Linked DNA regions of Alligator mississippiensis. The protein of the gene in region 2 purifies or fractionates together with the protein of the main gene of each other region. This does not show direct contact. Links are inferred from orthologs where the notes say so. Each region holds a gene or a part of one and is shown on either strand. Other genes may lie near its edges.

Region 1 (6,920 bases), on a different chromosome or scaffold from region 2:
CATACAGTCCTATATTGCGTTCTTTTAAATGCAAACTTGAATTTCATTTCAGCGGCACAGAAAAGCGATGCCCAAAGGATAATAAAATTATTGATCAGACATGTGTCTAGCTCCGAGAACATTTCTAGGCTTTAGTGAGTACCTAACATCTAACTCTGAGATGGGCTTAATACACTGTTCCAAATATAAAACCAGAAGCTATTTTCTCCAGCAGAGAGAAAGTGATTTGATCTAGTTATGCAAAAAAATCAATAAACAGTATCAAATAACAAGTGCCGTAAAGCACCGTGGATTATTCCCCAGGTAGTGTGTGTGAACAGAAATGCTCATTCTCATAATGGAAGACTAGGGAGATGTGGCAGAGATGTGGTAGCCACTGCATCATAATCTGTAATACATAATGATCTGTAATACTTTTGTGCCTGCTATTTTGAGACCGTGCCTATCTGGCTATACTGGGTTATTAAATACATGGCCCTGTATGGCTGTATTAATTTAATAATGGGGGCGGGGGTGTGTGTGAGAAATAATGAAGAGCAAAGGAACACAGTAGCCCTAAATAGCCCTAAATACCATAACCAGCCTCTCAACAAACTCTTGAGAGGCAATTACAAGAGAACAGCCCAGCCCTTATTAACTAGGGAGATGCTACTGCCAGGCCTCAGTCAAGTCACACAGCTAGTTGGGCAAGTTTGGGAGCTTAGAGAGTTATTAAACAGTTAAGGTGACTCCCTGGAGAGAGCAAGTGGGAAAGGGAGCTGTCACTGAGCTGTTCGTGGGAGAAACAGACTGACATGGACAGACAGGCAAGCCCTGCAGGAGTGTCTCAAGCAGCTGGTGTCTTCCCAAGTCTTCTGGGAAATGGTAAGCCTTGGGTAAGATAGATAGGCATGCGTATAAACGGTTCATTCTTCTGATCTTGGTGCCTCTGGCTGCTGCTCCCAAGAAAAAGGACTGTAAGTTTTGTACCAAAGGCAGGCCTGCTAGGGTCATTAAAGCTGCTCTTTCTGTATTACACCATGTTGTGTATATACCCCTTGCGCTAACTCTCACAAGGAAGTTCCTCCCTTCTTTTTTACTGCCCCATCACTAGCGCTCCTTACATCTCTTGGTTATGTACCTGCCCACATATGAAATATAATCCCTCTTCTGGGCGCGTCTCCTCTTCTGGCTCATTGTACTTCTTCTGACTAACATGACTAAGGAAGGTAACGCAAGAGTTGAGAAGCTTGATTCCCACACCAAAAGTGTGTTTGCCGTGTTTGCATACCATTGATTTGAGCTTGAATTTGATCTGCTCCAAAATGTACCATTATTTCTCCCGTGTGACCTGAGAGGCACTCTACAGGCACCTCTTGCCCAAAAAAGGTTATTTCAGCCCAAATGGAGCGTCGGCCATAGTCCAATGTTTCAGGACCGCAGGCTGACTTGGAGTAGAAACTTCTGAAAGTGATTTATAAAACATAAGATCACATCCAGAGAACATTGGTGGTTGGGACAATCTTGTTGGACCGTGCTAAAAGCACCTTGGATATTGATCTGGCTTGTATATGACCCTCCTTTTTATTTGCACATCCCACATGATGATTGGAAAAAGGAATTTCAAATTCAGGTTGTCAAGTTGCTTTTATCTTGATGTTTGGGGCTTTTTCCTTCATATCATTTGGAAAAAGCTCCCTGGGAAGATTCACTATGTGACTCTGACTTCAGATCCTTCTTAAGACAAATGTCTGCAAAGCACTATCTGCTGGCATTGGCTAGCAAGGTGGTGACCTGAGGAGGTCTTGTGAGGTCTAATAACTGGCTCATTCTACCTTAACCTCATCCTTTCCTTCCTGGGTTTTTTCCCATGCATTTGCTGCATCTAGTCCTAACCAAAGTCCTGATCTTGTAAACACTTGTGCACTTGGCCATGTTTATGCATGATTACAGCCCCGTTGGAATCCAGCGGCCTCTTCACATATAAAGTCAGGGATGTTTGTAAGCATTGGCAGTATCATAGCCTTAGCTTGTGATCTCTCTGGACTGGAGTCTGCCTGGATTCAGCCAGTTGATCTCTAATGTGCCCTGCCTTCTGCCTAACCAATGAGTAATGAATCTACCCTGTAGATTTGTGCTGGTTGGTTTGTTGTATGTTGGCTGGTGGCTACCTGCTGGTTAACTCTCCCCTGTATCTGCTTGTGTACTTGCTGATATTACTTGTGTATGAGTAGAATATTAGTAAAGCTTCTCATTTATTTTTTTAACTGGAGAAAAACATGTGTTGTTTCATACGGGATAATGCACCTCACCATCTGCAACCCGCCTTTGCAAAATTCTAGATGGAGACATGCACAGCAAAATATAAAATAGTCTTTAAAAGGGGGTGCTACTTGGTTCATCAAAGCTGCACAGGGGGTGCCTCAAGTCTAATGAGGGGTTCATCGAGTCTTACATGGTCAAGAGCCAGCGGTCCAGGAATCCTGCAGTCCAGAGCTCAGCTAGCTCTCTCCCAGCTGCGCCATGGGCGGAGCAGGCATCAAAGTGGGTGCAAGTGCCCCAGTGCAACCCCCCTGCTACCATGCTTTTTCACACCATGTATCATTAAAGTGTGGAACTGGTGGCGACAGCTTCAAAAAGGGATTGGACAGTGTGGAGGAAAGGAGCATTTGTGGCTATCAAGCCTGGGCATGAGGGGCACAGCCTCTGAGTCACAGCTTCTAGCCCTGAAATGCTGGCAGCTGCCTGGGGGAGAGGAACAGGGGTGGAAACCCTGCTCAGACCCCGCTCACTCTCCCTTCCAGCCTCGGCTCGCTGCCCCGGGGTGACACGGCACTGGGCAGGACGCAGCGGTGGTCTGAGGCAGTCAGTGGCAGCTCTTGTGCACGTCCTCAGGAAAGACTGCTCTGGTGGCATGGGATAGTACCCGTGTAGGTAATGCATAGTTAACCTTGGCTTTATGCCCACTTTATGGAAAGGGGAGACTCCTCCTGGGGCCTTACGGCTGAGGGCAAGCAAAACTCAGGGGCATCCGAACCCCAGAGCCTCCGGGCTTGGGCCTGCAAGTAGGATGCCCGCCAAAGGATTTGGAAACATCTGAAGCCCCAGGGGGGTGGAGGATGTTTGCCAGTAGTAGGGCCGCTTACGGCTCTGGGCTGGCTCACGGATTTGGAATTGACTTGGCCAATCTGGCTTGCAACACCGAAACATTAAAAAAAAATAATAATAATCTCCTCACAGAGGAGACAGGACAAGCCTGAGGCTGCAATGATCCTTTTATATATAAAATATATATATATATGTATGTACTGTATATATATTTGTGTGTGTATATATATGTATAGATATAGATGTGTGTGTGGGTGTATAAACCTGTCTATATATATATATATATATATATATATATGTATATATGTGTGTGTGTGTGTATATATATATGTGTGGGTATATAAACATGTCTATATGTGTATGTATATGTATATATGAATGTATGTTGAGACATGGTTTCCTGTATATAGAGATCATTGCAGACTCAGGGTTGTCCGTGTCGTATGTGTGTATAAAGTGTGTGTGTGTGTGTGTGCGTGTGTGTGTGTGTAATTGCTCGTGTGTGTACCCCGCCCCCTGGCGCTACACCCCCTCTCCCACCCCTCCGGGGCCGCCAGGTGCAGCTGGTCGCAGCCGTCTCTGCCCCGCCTCAGGGGCGGGCGGGAAATGTAGTCCGCGCCTCCAGGGCGGTGGCGGGCAGCGGCGCCGCCTCCGAACTACCACTCCCAGCAGGCCGCGCGCCGCCGGCTCCGGTGTGGGGGGGGGTGCGGAGGAGCTGCGCCTGCGCATTGCGTTGCACATTGTACCCTATCAGGCGGGGCGGGGATGATGTCACCTGCGGGCTGGGCAGGGGCGCGCGGAGCCGGCTCCCATTGTGGGCAGGGCGCCGCGGCGGGCGGGCGGCTCGCGATGTCCGCGCGCTGCAGGTAAGGCACGGCACGGCACGGCACGGCACGGGGTAGCGTGCACGGTGCGTCGCAATACAAACCCCAGGGGAGCGGGGGTTTTGGTGCAGCCCGAGCCCTTGCTCCCCGCGCCTCCTCCCGGCTCCCTTTCCTGCAGCCGCGAGCCGCTAACAAAGCCGTGCGAGCGGGTTCGGGCCGGGCCGGGCGAGGCGAGGTGAGGGCAGGTGGGCGCGGGGGGCTGCATCCCTGCACCGCGGCGAAGGGATGGAGGGGCCGGTTGCTATGGCTACCCCTGCCAGGCTAACCTCCCCAGGGTCCCTGCTCCCCATCCCTGCCCGTGCCCCGGGGTGGCACTGGGTCTGCGCCCCTGCTCGACCACTGCAGTCTGCAGGGAGACCCCTCCCCACCCCCCCCAATTGGGAGCTCAGGGCTCCAGCCTTGGGGGACAGGCAGCGTCCCCACCTTGCATGACAGGGGACGGCCAGCCCAGAAAGGAGCGGGAGAGAAGACGGGAGACGGAGGCATTGCCTGCTGGCAGCTGTCGGGGTTCACCTGCTTCCCCGCCCGTTGCCCGCTCTCCATTGGGGGGCGGCAAGGAGGTCGCTGCATCTGCCGGTGCCCCTGAAGGCATCTGAGCAGACGTGCGAGCTCTCCCGCGCCGTGTTTCCCTGCTGCCACGACGCAAGAGCAGCCTCCGCGGGGCCCAGGGGTCCGGGACTTCGCTCTGCTGGGGTCTGCCCTGCGTTCGGGACAGGCTGCGAGGTGCGTGCCCGGCACCCTGCAGAGCCTCCGTGAAGATCAAGTCCCTGCTCTGAGGACTTGACCGTCTTAATTCAGCACCGCAGTAGCAGGGGTGGGGATTATCGTACGGATTATGTTGTGATAAATGTGCACCGGTGTCGGAGGGAGAACCGGCGTGTGTCTGTGGTTTTAGGCTCCGGACCAGGACTCTAGAGACTATGATGCTGCCACAGATTTGCAGTCTGAACGGGGCTACTTGCGTCGGCAAACGTTGCTAGTCTTGGGTGATCCAACTTCTTGGCGATGACTGCGATGCTGGCACCTGCTGTTTGATTTTGGAGGGGCGAGGGGCGCGTGTGTGAGTGTCTGTAAGAAGCAAGAGCTCAGCAGCTCTGAAAGATCGGATACTGGGGTGAAAGCCTGATCTGGGCAAGACGTAGTTGCAGTGAGGTCGGCGTTTCCTCCTTGGAGTCTGAAGGTGAACATTTAAAACTAAAATAGCTGTTCGGGTTGGTGTTAGCCAGGCAGGGCTGTGCTTACATGATTGGGGATGTGGGATGCTGCTGGGATACTTAGGAGCTGAAGTTCCCCTCTTGGTTTTGTTTTGTTTTTTTTCCTGTTGCAAGAAGTTAAAGGAAAAGAAGAAATGTCTTGTCTCCTCAAGTTGGAGACGTTTCCTCTTCCTAGAAAACAGAGGTCTCTGGAGGATGTTAATATTGCTAGACGATGCATTGGTATTCCAGGTCTTGGTTCCCCACTGGGGACTAGATATCCGACAGGAGGTTTGTAGGTGTTGGGGCTGGTACCCTGGATGAGCATGGTAAGCCCTGAGTGCTTCAGATAATCAGTGCAGAATTTGGACATCCAGTGCACTTCAGAAAAGTGCAACCTCTTGATTACTTCCTCAGACCCTTGTCTCCAAAACAGTTAATGTGAGCTACCGAGAGGCCTTAGCTGTCCTGTTCTGCGAGTTTCTCCCGCAGAGCTTGTTCTTGATGATGCCTGATACAGTTCTTGGATGGCTGCGGGTTACCGCTCTTTGTGAGCCAGAACAGTCTTGTTCCGCTTTGCGCAAGGGAAGTTTTACAAGTACGGTTTCTTCTTGGCAATGAGTTTCAGCTGAGGGGGTCAAACAAATGCGTCTCCCTGCAAGCACTAACTTCATCACTTCCATGAGGATTACATTAGTCCCACCGTGTCAAAATCTGTTACCTGAGAAGGATCTATTGCTCCTGAAGCCTACAGACTAAACTACCTCTGGTTTCTTTTAAGCCAGTCATCTGCCTCCCATGTTACTGTCTCTTGCTAATTGGTTACAGTAGGATAAGAGATCTGTGACTAGCCCTAGAAGGCCAGTGTTTTGCATATCAGTATTGTCTGCCCTGGGCTGGAATATGAATCTCAAAAGGAAAGTCCATGTTGTCAGTTCATTTTGCTCTTCCAAGGTGCAAATTCAATAGGAGCTGAAGACATACAAAAAAACTAGAACTCTTGGTTCCAAAATGATACTTTTTATTAGACCAACAGGAAAATGGCAAGAAAATTGTCCTTTTCTGCAAGCATTCGGGATAGCTGAAGGCACTTGGCAGTTTGTGGTACTGAGCCCTGCCTGCTCCTTGGCTTATGCATGGGTGAGGAGTCAATCTCTTCCTGATGTTCCTGTCCCAAGTAGATTAGATTTCATCAGCGAACTAGGTGTACACCCAATTTTAGACTCTGGTGTACACCCTGTGCCAGCCCCCGTGAAGTAAACAGGATGGGTGAGGTGTAAACCAGCACTGGCTCTTCCTCTGTGCTTTAGGCTGAGCAATAGTGGTCTTGAACTGAGTCAGCTCCTGCTCCAAACCCTTTTTTTCCCCAATACGGATGAGGGAGAGGGTTGTAGGGGACAGGGAATTGCAGAACATCTTCCTAGCAAAGGACGAGAAGGGCCCGGGGACAGCAAGTCTAGCTGGGCTCTGTTTATCTCCCTGCCTTTTGAACTGTTATTGTTTCCATGCACTTCACAGCCGAGTGATTTCTCCTCCTGGAAACCCGCACAGGAGGTGCAAAGAGATTCAATCCTCAGCCGCTTGCCAGTGTTGTTTACCTGCTGCTCAGGAGCATAACCCCTGCCGTCTGGGTTCCTGTCGAGGGCCAGCGCTTCCTCCCCTCGCCTGCTATTTACATGCTCTGTCCATCAGCTCCGAGCTGTTGAAACCCAGCATGAGCTTGGCAGCAGAGGGGAAGCTGGGGAGTGTCGAAAGC
Region 2 (6,965 bases):
AGGGACACTAAATCCTCCGAGCCCAGACTGCTGCAGTGCCCCGGCAACCAGAAGTGACCCCCAATCAGCTGGAAACGTCCCAGACCGACTCCAAGAGAAACCAGCCGCGTGTTTCGGGGAAAGCAGCGACTCAAGTTTTGCCGGGCTGGTCTCAATGTTTGCACATCTGATCGGTGACACGGGGTTTGGCAAAGCGAGAGAGTGATTTCATGGACACGCAGCATCCTGCGCGCGGGACCCGCTGTATATTTACATCATGCACAAAGGGCCCTGGCTGACAACCCATGCTCCAGCGAATAATTGTTGTTCACAATTAATGCAAAGAGAACAATCCAGTTCCCACAGAAGCCTGAAGTGCGCTCCCCACCGTCCCCACAGGCGCTCCTTTGTGCTTCTTGAGCTCATCGCAGCCAGGCCCCTTCCCTTTCTTCAGGGCCTGTGAGTTTCTCTACGCCCTTCCCTCTCCTCCCCCCAGCAAGACAAACACAGACAGTTTTAAGGACGTGGGGTACTACATCTTTGGCAAGAGCCGGCTGGAACAGGTGGCTGATTCACTCGTGGTCAGACACGGGCTGCAGCAGGACACATCGGGCTCCCTCGTGAGGAGCCATCGCCGTGCGCTCACCGCCAAGGGCATTGCCGCTCAAAACGCGAGGCTCTAATGCAACAGAAAACATCTTGTTACTTTCAGTTTCAGGATTTAGACATTTCCCTTGCAGTTCAGGAGTGCCGGGGCGTGCAATCCAGCAAGCGGAACAGCTCGGGGCCTGACCGAGGACAAAAGTGAAATGAGCTAATAGTTCACCCCCGTGGCAGAGTCCTGGGAAATGCAGAAAGCAAGCAGAGGAACCTGAGATTTTAAAGGGTGTCTGTGCCTGAAAGCTTGCAAAGAACAATTTTTCCAACTGTTTAGTTGGTTTAATAAAAGATATCACATCTACCCAAAGAACCTGGTCTGCCTTGGCATTTTAAAGACACTTTCTGTTCTAAAAGTGCTTGGATCACTTATGCCCGCTTATGCCCCCAAAACTAACACAAGCAAGGAACCCTCTTGCCATTTTAATCCAAATGTCCCTTAAAAAACAATGTGAAGACTATCTCTGGAGGACAGGAAAAGGTCCCCCAGGGTAGGCCATGCAGGAAGCCTCTCTCCACTCAGGACTGATTAGTCTCTTGGCAAGAGGCAACGAGAGCTCACGTGAGCGTTAAACATCCTTTCCTCACTGCTGAGCTCATGCTTCTGGTTTCAGAGCTGCGGCTGCCAACTGAACTTTGCTCCTTTATATGACACGATGCTGAGGAGGAGAAGCAAAAGTTTTCTTCCCCGGCTGCCAAACCAGTCGGACGGCTTTAAGGATTTGATTTGAGCAGGACCCAGGTTGAAAACCTTGCAGAGCATGCAGCGTATGGGGCAAATAACAAGCAGCACTCTTTCCGCGCACCTGGCTGGAGAGCAGGGCAGCCTGCCCCCATTTCTGACCCTCTGCAGCTCACATTACATTCGCATGTCATTCCCGGAGGAATTGTCCCACGTGCCTTTACCCACGGGCAGCAATGCCACGGACTCTTCCGCCTACCACATTGCAAGAGCATGTCCAGTGACCAAAATCCTGGCTACACAGGTGGGCAAGGCCAGTGTTATGTCAAAAAGACAATCAGTCACCCACCAAGCAGGACCCAACTTGACGCTAGAGGCAATCTTGCCCCTCCGTGCACCCCAGGGTGCTGGCTACAGCAGCAAGGCAGAGGCTGGCGGCAGGACTGGTTTATGCCAGAGTGGGGGAGGTCTGCTGGGCAGGATGTGAGGATTACTCCCTGCTCCAAGAAAGGCTGCAAGGCCAGTGCTTCCCGAGGAAGCTTTGCTGCAAATCCCCTCTGAACGTGGGTGGCTGCAGCTCTGCTGGGGGAAGTTCACCCACTGCTACGCATCCGCTCCAGATAACGGAGCGCAGGCCCCAAATCCCACGGGACCCCGCTCGGCTGTCATCCGCATCCGTTCCCAAAGGGGAGCTGCTCAAAGAGACTAGCGAAACATTCCCGTCCCCCCACCTTACAGCTCGAGACCTGAGCCACCGTCTTCCCCACCAGCCTGTGCCGAGGGCAGGCTCCCGAGTCCCCATCGCACTCGCGCCCCAAGGAGCAGGTCGCGCCGCTCACAGAGCCGTCAGGGCCACGTTAGAAATAAATAGCTGAAGGCAGCCCCTTCTCACAATCGCTTGCTTAGGAAAGAAGACACTTCACCTCCCTCTGGCTAGGCGCCCCTGTCCCAAACCTCAGCTGATCTCAGTCCGGCGGCCCATCCGGGTGCGTCCTTCTGCTTCAGGAAAACCCACCTGTCCGGCGCAAGCAGGAGCTGGCAGAGCTTTGCTCGCCCGCCCGATACCCAGCGGGCAGCAGGGATGGCGCAGGGTTTGCCAGCAGGAACAACTCTTGAAGCCAAGGTTTGCAGCCCCCACCCAAGGCCCGGGAGCGTGCAGGGCTGTCCGTCCCGGCCAAAAAAGGAAGCTGAGCACAAATTGAGGCTGTTCGGCGCTCGGCACGGCCAAGGGAGGACACTTGGCACGGCCAGCGTGGAAGTGGAGGCGGTGCAAGCGGGCAGCTGGACCCTGGGAGAAGGGAGCGCTGCAGGGTGGGGGTGCAGGACCCGGGGGCTGGGCTGGGGTCCCGGGGGCTGCCCCGCGCCCGCGCCCCGGTACCTGCGCTCCGCTGCGCTGCGCTGCGCTGCGCTCCGCGGCGACAAGGGCTGGGCGGCCGGGAGGGGCCGGCGGGACTGACAGCGCCGCGCACCGCCCACCCGGCCGCGCTGCGCTGCCCCGGGCAGGCAGGGCAGGGGCTGCCCCGCGCCCCGCCGCCGCCGCCGGCCGGCTCGGGGCTGGCGCAGGGAGCGCGAGCTGCAGCCCGGGGCGGGACAGGCGCTAGCCCGTGCCCGTGGTGGTGCCCACCTGGCCCTCCGACGGCTCTCGCCCTGGCAGGGGGACCCGGGACTGCTAAGGCAGGTGTCCAGGTCGCACCCCGCAGCGAATGCACGCCCGGGAGCGAGCGCACTGGACATGCTCTTGCAACCTCCCACTTCCATTTCCAGGGGGAAGAGCTTGGCTTTGCGCCCACTTGGTGGAAAGGGGAGGCTCCTCCCTAGCTTGCTCCTGCCGCCCACCCTAGGGCTGAGGGCAAGTCAAAGCCGGGGGCATCTGAACCCCAAGCCCCCGGGCTCGGGCCTGCATGTAGGATGCCCGCCAAATGGTTTGGAAACATCTGAAGCCAGTAGCAGCAGGGCCACTTATGGTTCTGGACCGATTCGCCGATTTGGAATCGATTTGGCTGATTTGGCTTGGGACATGACAAGCTTTCCTTTAAAAAAAACCAGAAAAAGAAAAAATGCTGTGTTGGGCTGTGTTTAGTGCTGCCCAGAGCTCATCAGTCCAAGAGAGAAGGGTTTAAGGAGAGAGAAACCCAGAGGACACCTCCCTGGCCTGTATTCCTCCATGAGAAAAGCACTCGTGCCTCATTCAAGGGGTCGGGGGGAAAGTATACCCCAAGCCATCCTTAACCACAGGGGAGAGCGAGGGGTCCTTCCGCTGAGCAAGGCAGGTGGCTACACCTATACAAGTGTACGTCGTTTATAGGGTATCCAGGTTGTAGCCGTATTGGTCTAGAGGCAAAAGGAATAGGAACTCGTGGCAGAGGTGATGTCTTTCATTAGAGCAACTAGATGTTTGCAAAAACATGTCTTTATTTGCAAGCTTTCGGGCACAGGCCCCCTTCTTCTGGCAGAGGAGAGTACACATCTTTGCACAGCTTTGTACTCTCCTCCGCCTGAAGAAGGGGGCCTGTGCCCCAAACCAAACAAAGCTGGATTTTTATTTTTTTTTTTTGCAAATATCTAGTTGGTCTAATAAAAGGTATCACCTCTGCCATGAGTTGTGATTCCTGGTGTCATTTATACACATATAAATGTGTATGTCATTTATGCACATAAATATCAGCCCCTGAGGCAGGAACCAGATGCCGACCGTGTCATGCTCTGCTGGCTGCAGCATTTCCTGCCTTTATGGCCAGCTGCTGCCCCAAGAAGCCTGGAAAGCCTGATGCAATCCAATTTATTTGATTTTTAGGGACAGTTTTGTGCTGCACTGAGTCACCAGCGGCAGGGGGAGCAGGAGGGGCTGTGAACTCCACCCCGAGGATACAGCACGGGCTTCGTCTCGCAGCTAGGCCTTTGCCTCAGGGGAGAGGAGGAATTAAGGATTAGACATTTACTGTCATGGAATCAGAACAGCAACTGTGCCCGCTCGCTCGGACAGTCATGACCAGGACCAGCGCTCTTCAAGGCGAAAGCCAAGCTCCAGCCGGGACCTGGGAGACGGCCCCTCGGTCGTGTGCCGTGGGCTTGCTCGGGAGCAGCAGGCATTGCCGGTCACTGATGGAGTCGCGGGAGACTAGCTGGGCCATTGCTCTCTTCTGGGAGCAGCCGTGGGGCAGGGGGCTCGGCCTGCCGTGATGCCTCTGCAGGGTTGCATCTAGCTTTGGGTCAGCGTTTCCCAACGTGTCCGGCTATGCACACGGAGCCAGCAACAAGCAGCAGGGGGAAAAAGAGGCCAAGAGCACTTCATGGTTTCTTTTTCTGATGTCTCGCAGGAAACGTTCACCTGCTTTTGTTCTTACCACGGACAGAAAGGGACAGCCAGACACAAGAAATCGCCAGGCTCCCCCAGCGTGAACCCGCTCTGGCAGCCCAAGGCTGTTGCACCAACCCCGAGTGAGCCTCAGCTCTCCCCCCGCACAGGCCATCACCGATCTCATCCTCGCGACCAGAACTGTCTGTCACAGGGCCCCGGGAGCTGCTGTCATTGCTGACGGCCGCGCCAAGAGGCCCCGTCTGAGATCAGGGCCCCTCGTTCTCACGCGCCGCTCTGCAGGACAGGGCCTCTCTGTTGCTCGAGGCCGAGGCAGACAAAGGGACCGAGGAAAACAGAGGTCCTGTCACGCCGCCAAGCAGCACGTCCTGGGCTGGGCTCAGCTTTGCTCAGGCCCTTTCTGCTCATTTGCACCCTCCAGAGCTAACCCAGCCCCTGTCCTACCAGCAAGGCAACCTTTCCTCTGCCACCTCAGCCTGCACAGTGCCCCACGGGGCTCGCTCCCCACTGCCTGGTCCTTTGTGCCCCCATGCATGTGCCTTGCCCCTCGTCTGAATGTTTCTAACAGAGCAAAATGAGGGCTGGAAGGGACCTCAGGAGATCACATCTAGTCCAACCCCCTGCTCAAACCAGGAGCAGCCCCAGCAACATCATCCCAGACAAGGCTTTGTCCACCTGGGTCTTAAAAACTCACAGGCTTGCCCTGGTCTCACATTGGGTCACCTGCAGCAGTAGCAATGGAAACCCCGGTCCAGACCTGTGCCTTGCTGCACTGGGGGCCGCGTCCCCAAGTCAGAAGCAGTCTCTGTCCCCCAAACAGTTCACTGCTGCTTTTAAGGTGGGTGACAAGTGGGTGAACAAGCCATGCAGGTAGAAGCAGGGGTAAGGACCCACTTAGTCGTGCCAGCGATGCGTGGAGGGGCTGCGTCATGTTCCCCCTTTGCACAGGGATTTGTTGGAGGAGGGATGAAGCAAAGAGTTACATTTTTATGCACACATACACACATGTATGCACACACATGTACACACACACCGGCAGTCCCAGCTGCAGGGCTGTGCGCTGGTGACTCAACTGGCAGGAAAAGCCAGCCCCGGAGCCTGGGGGTGGGGAGCGGGGTGCAACAGCTCCCAGCCTCCTGCCCTTCCCCGTCCCTGTGCACTGTACCAGCAAAGTGCTCCTGGCATGGACACTAGTGGCAAAGCCACACCAGGCCCCCTGGCAGGTGAGACAAGCTGGGCATTGGAAGTGCAAGTGCACCTGTCCGGTGCATCGGCACGGCCAGAGCACCAGACAGCAGGCAAGGGAAGAAGCAGCGACCGAAGGGCCCGGGAGAAGAAGGCAGCAGGGAGGTTTTCCACAGGCCCTGGCATTTCCAGCTCCTGCTCCTTCCAGTGCTGCGGGGTCAGGAAGCTGCTAGGAGGGGGAGACAGCGGCCACGCCTGAGCTCACCCGGAGGAGGGGAAAGGAGAGAGCCACCCTGCCTCGAGTCTCCTTGCCCTGGCTGGGGTCCCGGGGAGTCTCCAGCTCCTCCCATTCCTGAGGCTTTCGGCTTTGCACTCCTCGGCTCCCAGCCCTGTTTGCACTTGGACTCTGCCTCCCATGTCTCACCTTTGGGAAAAAGAGGCCTGGAGCAGGGCCAGGGCAAGTTTGGGCCTCCCCTGCTCCGTCCTGCCCAAGCTCAGCCAGGGTTTGCTCCCCCACCGCCTCCCAAGGCCCTCCACTCCATATGTCACAGGGCTGCTGGTGGCTGCCACAGGCACCTGTGCATTGCACACAGATAATGTGTGCGCCGGGGCTGAACTAACACGGCCCTGGGAACCTCACAGATGCAGGCGTCTGAGGTCCCGGCCTCGGGGACATGCTCACTGCAGTGTTGTAAAAGACCAAGCAGCAGCTCCGGCTGGATCAGGTGAGTGCAAGGATCAGACATCAGCTCCCCTTCTCTGGTCCTTGGCGTGATATCTGCACCCCGGCAGGGCGGCTGCCAAACACATGTGTCTGGGTTGGCTGGAGCCTTATGGCCCATACACTGGTACAAATGATAATGCCTGGTGTGGGCGCGTGGAGAGTTAGACCCAGCACATAGAGAGCCAGGACCTGATGAGATTCACTCCCTTCCCGCGTAATGGGGACAGGACCCATCTCACACTGGCATGTTGCAAGCTGGCGATGCCTTTCCTCCCAGCACCTCGGAGTGTGAGGCCACGTCCCTCCACCCTGCCCCTCGGGCCGGGCACTGCTCCGTGCAGCCTGGCACCAAACCATCAAACGGAGGGATTTGTAACCCGTTAGCTAAACCGTGGCAAAAGGCCGTGACACACACATCATGC

The links.
Region 1: the proteins of RHOC (region 2) and DAAM1 purify together in Homo sapiens (affinity purification with mass spectrometry; 3 studies listed by BioGRID and IntAct, counting the BioPlex papers as one, with this or other methods). This does not show direct contact. The link is inferred for Alligator mississippiensis from reciprocal best matches to the Homo sapiens genes RHOC and DAAM1.

What each region holds. Positions count from the first base shown.
Region 1 is NC_081825.1:295,939,537-295,946,456, forward strand, and holds the start of DAAM1 (disheveled-associated activator of morphogenesis 1), read left to right. Parts: upstream 1-3,855; 5' UTR 3,856-3,953; intron 3,954-6,920. UniProt on the Homo sapiens protein: Binds to disheveled (Dvl) and Rho, and mediates Wnt-induced Dvl-Rho complex formation. May play a role as a scaffolding protein to recruit Rho-GDP and Rho-GEF, thereby enhancing Rho-GTP formation. Can direct nucleation and elongation of new actin filaments.
Region 2 is NC_081837.1:44,752,917-44,759,881, forward strand, and holds the start of RHOC (rho-related GTP-binding protein RhoC), read right to left. Parts: upstream 3,046-6,965; 5' UTR 2,943-3,045; intron 2,784-2,942; exon of another isoform or gene 2,697-2,783; intron 2,615-2,696; exon of another isoform or gene 2,334-2,614; intron 1-2,333. UniProt on the Homo sapiens protein: Regulates a signal transduction pathway linking plasma membrane receptors to the assembly of focal adhesions and actin stress fibers.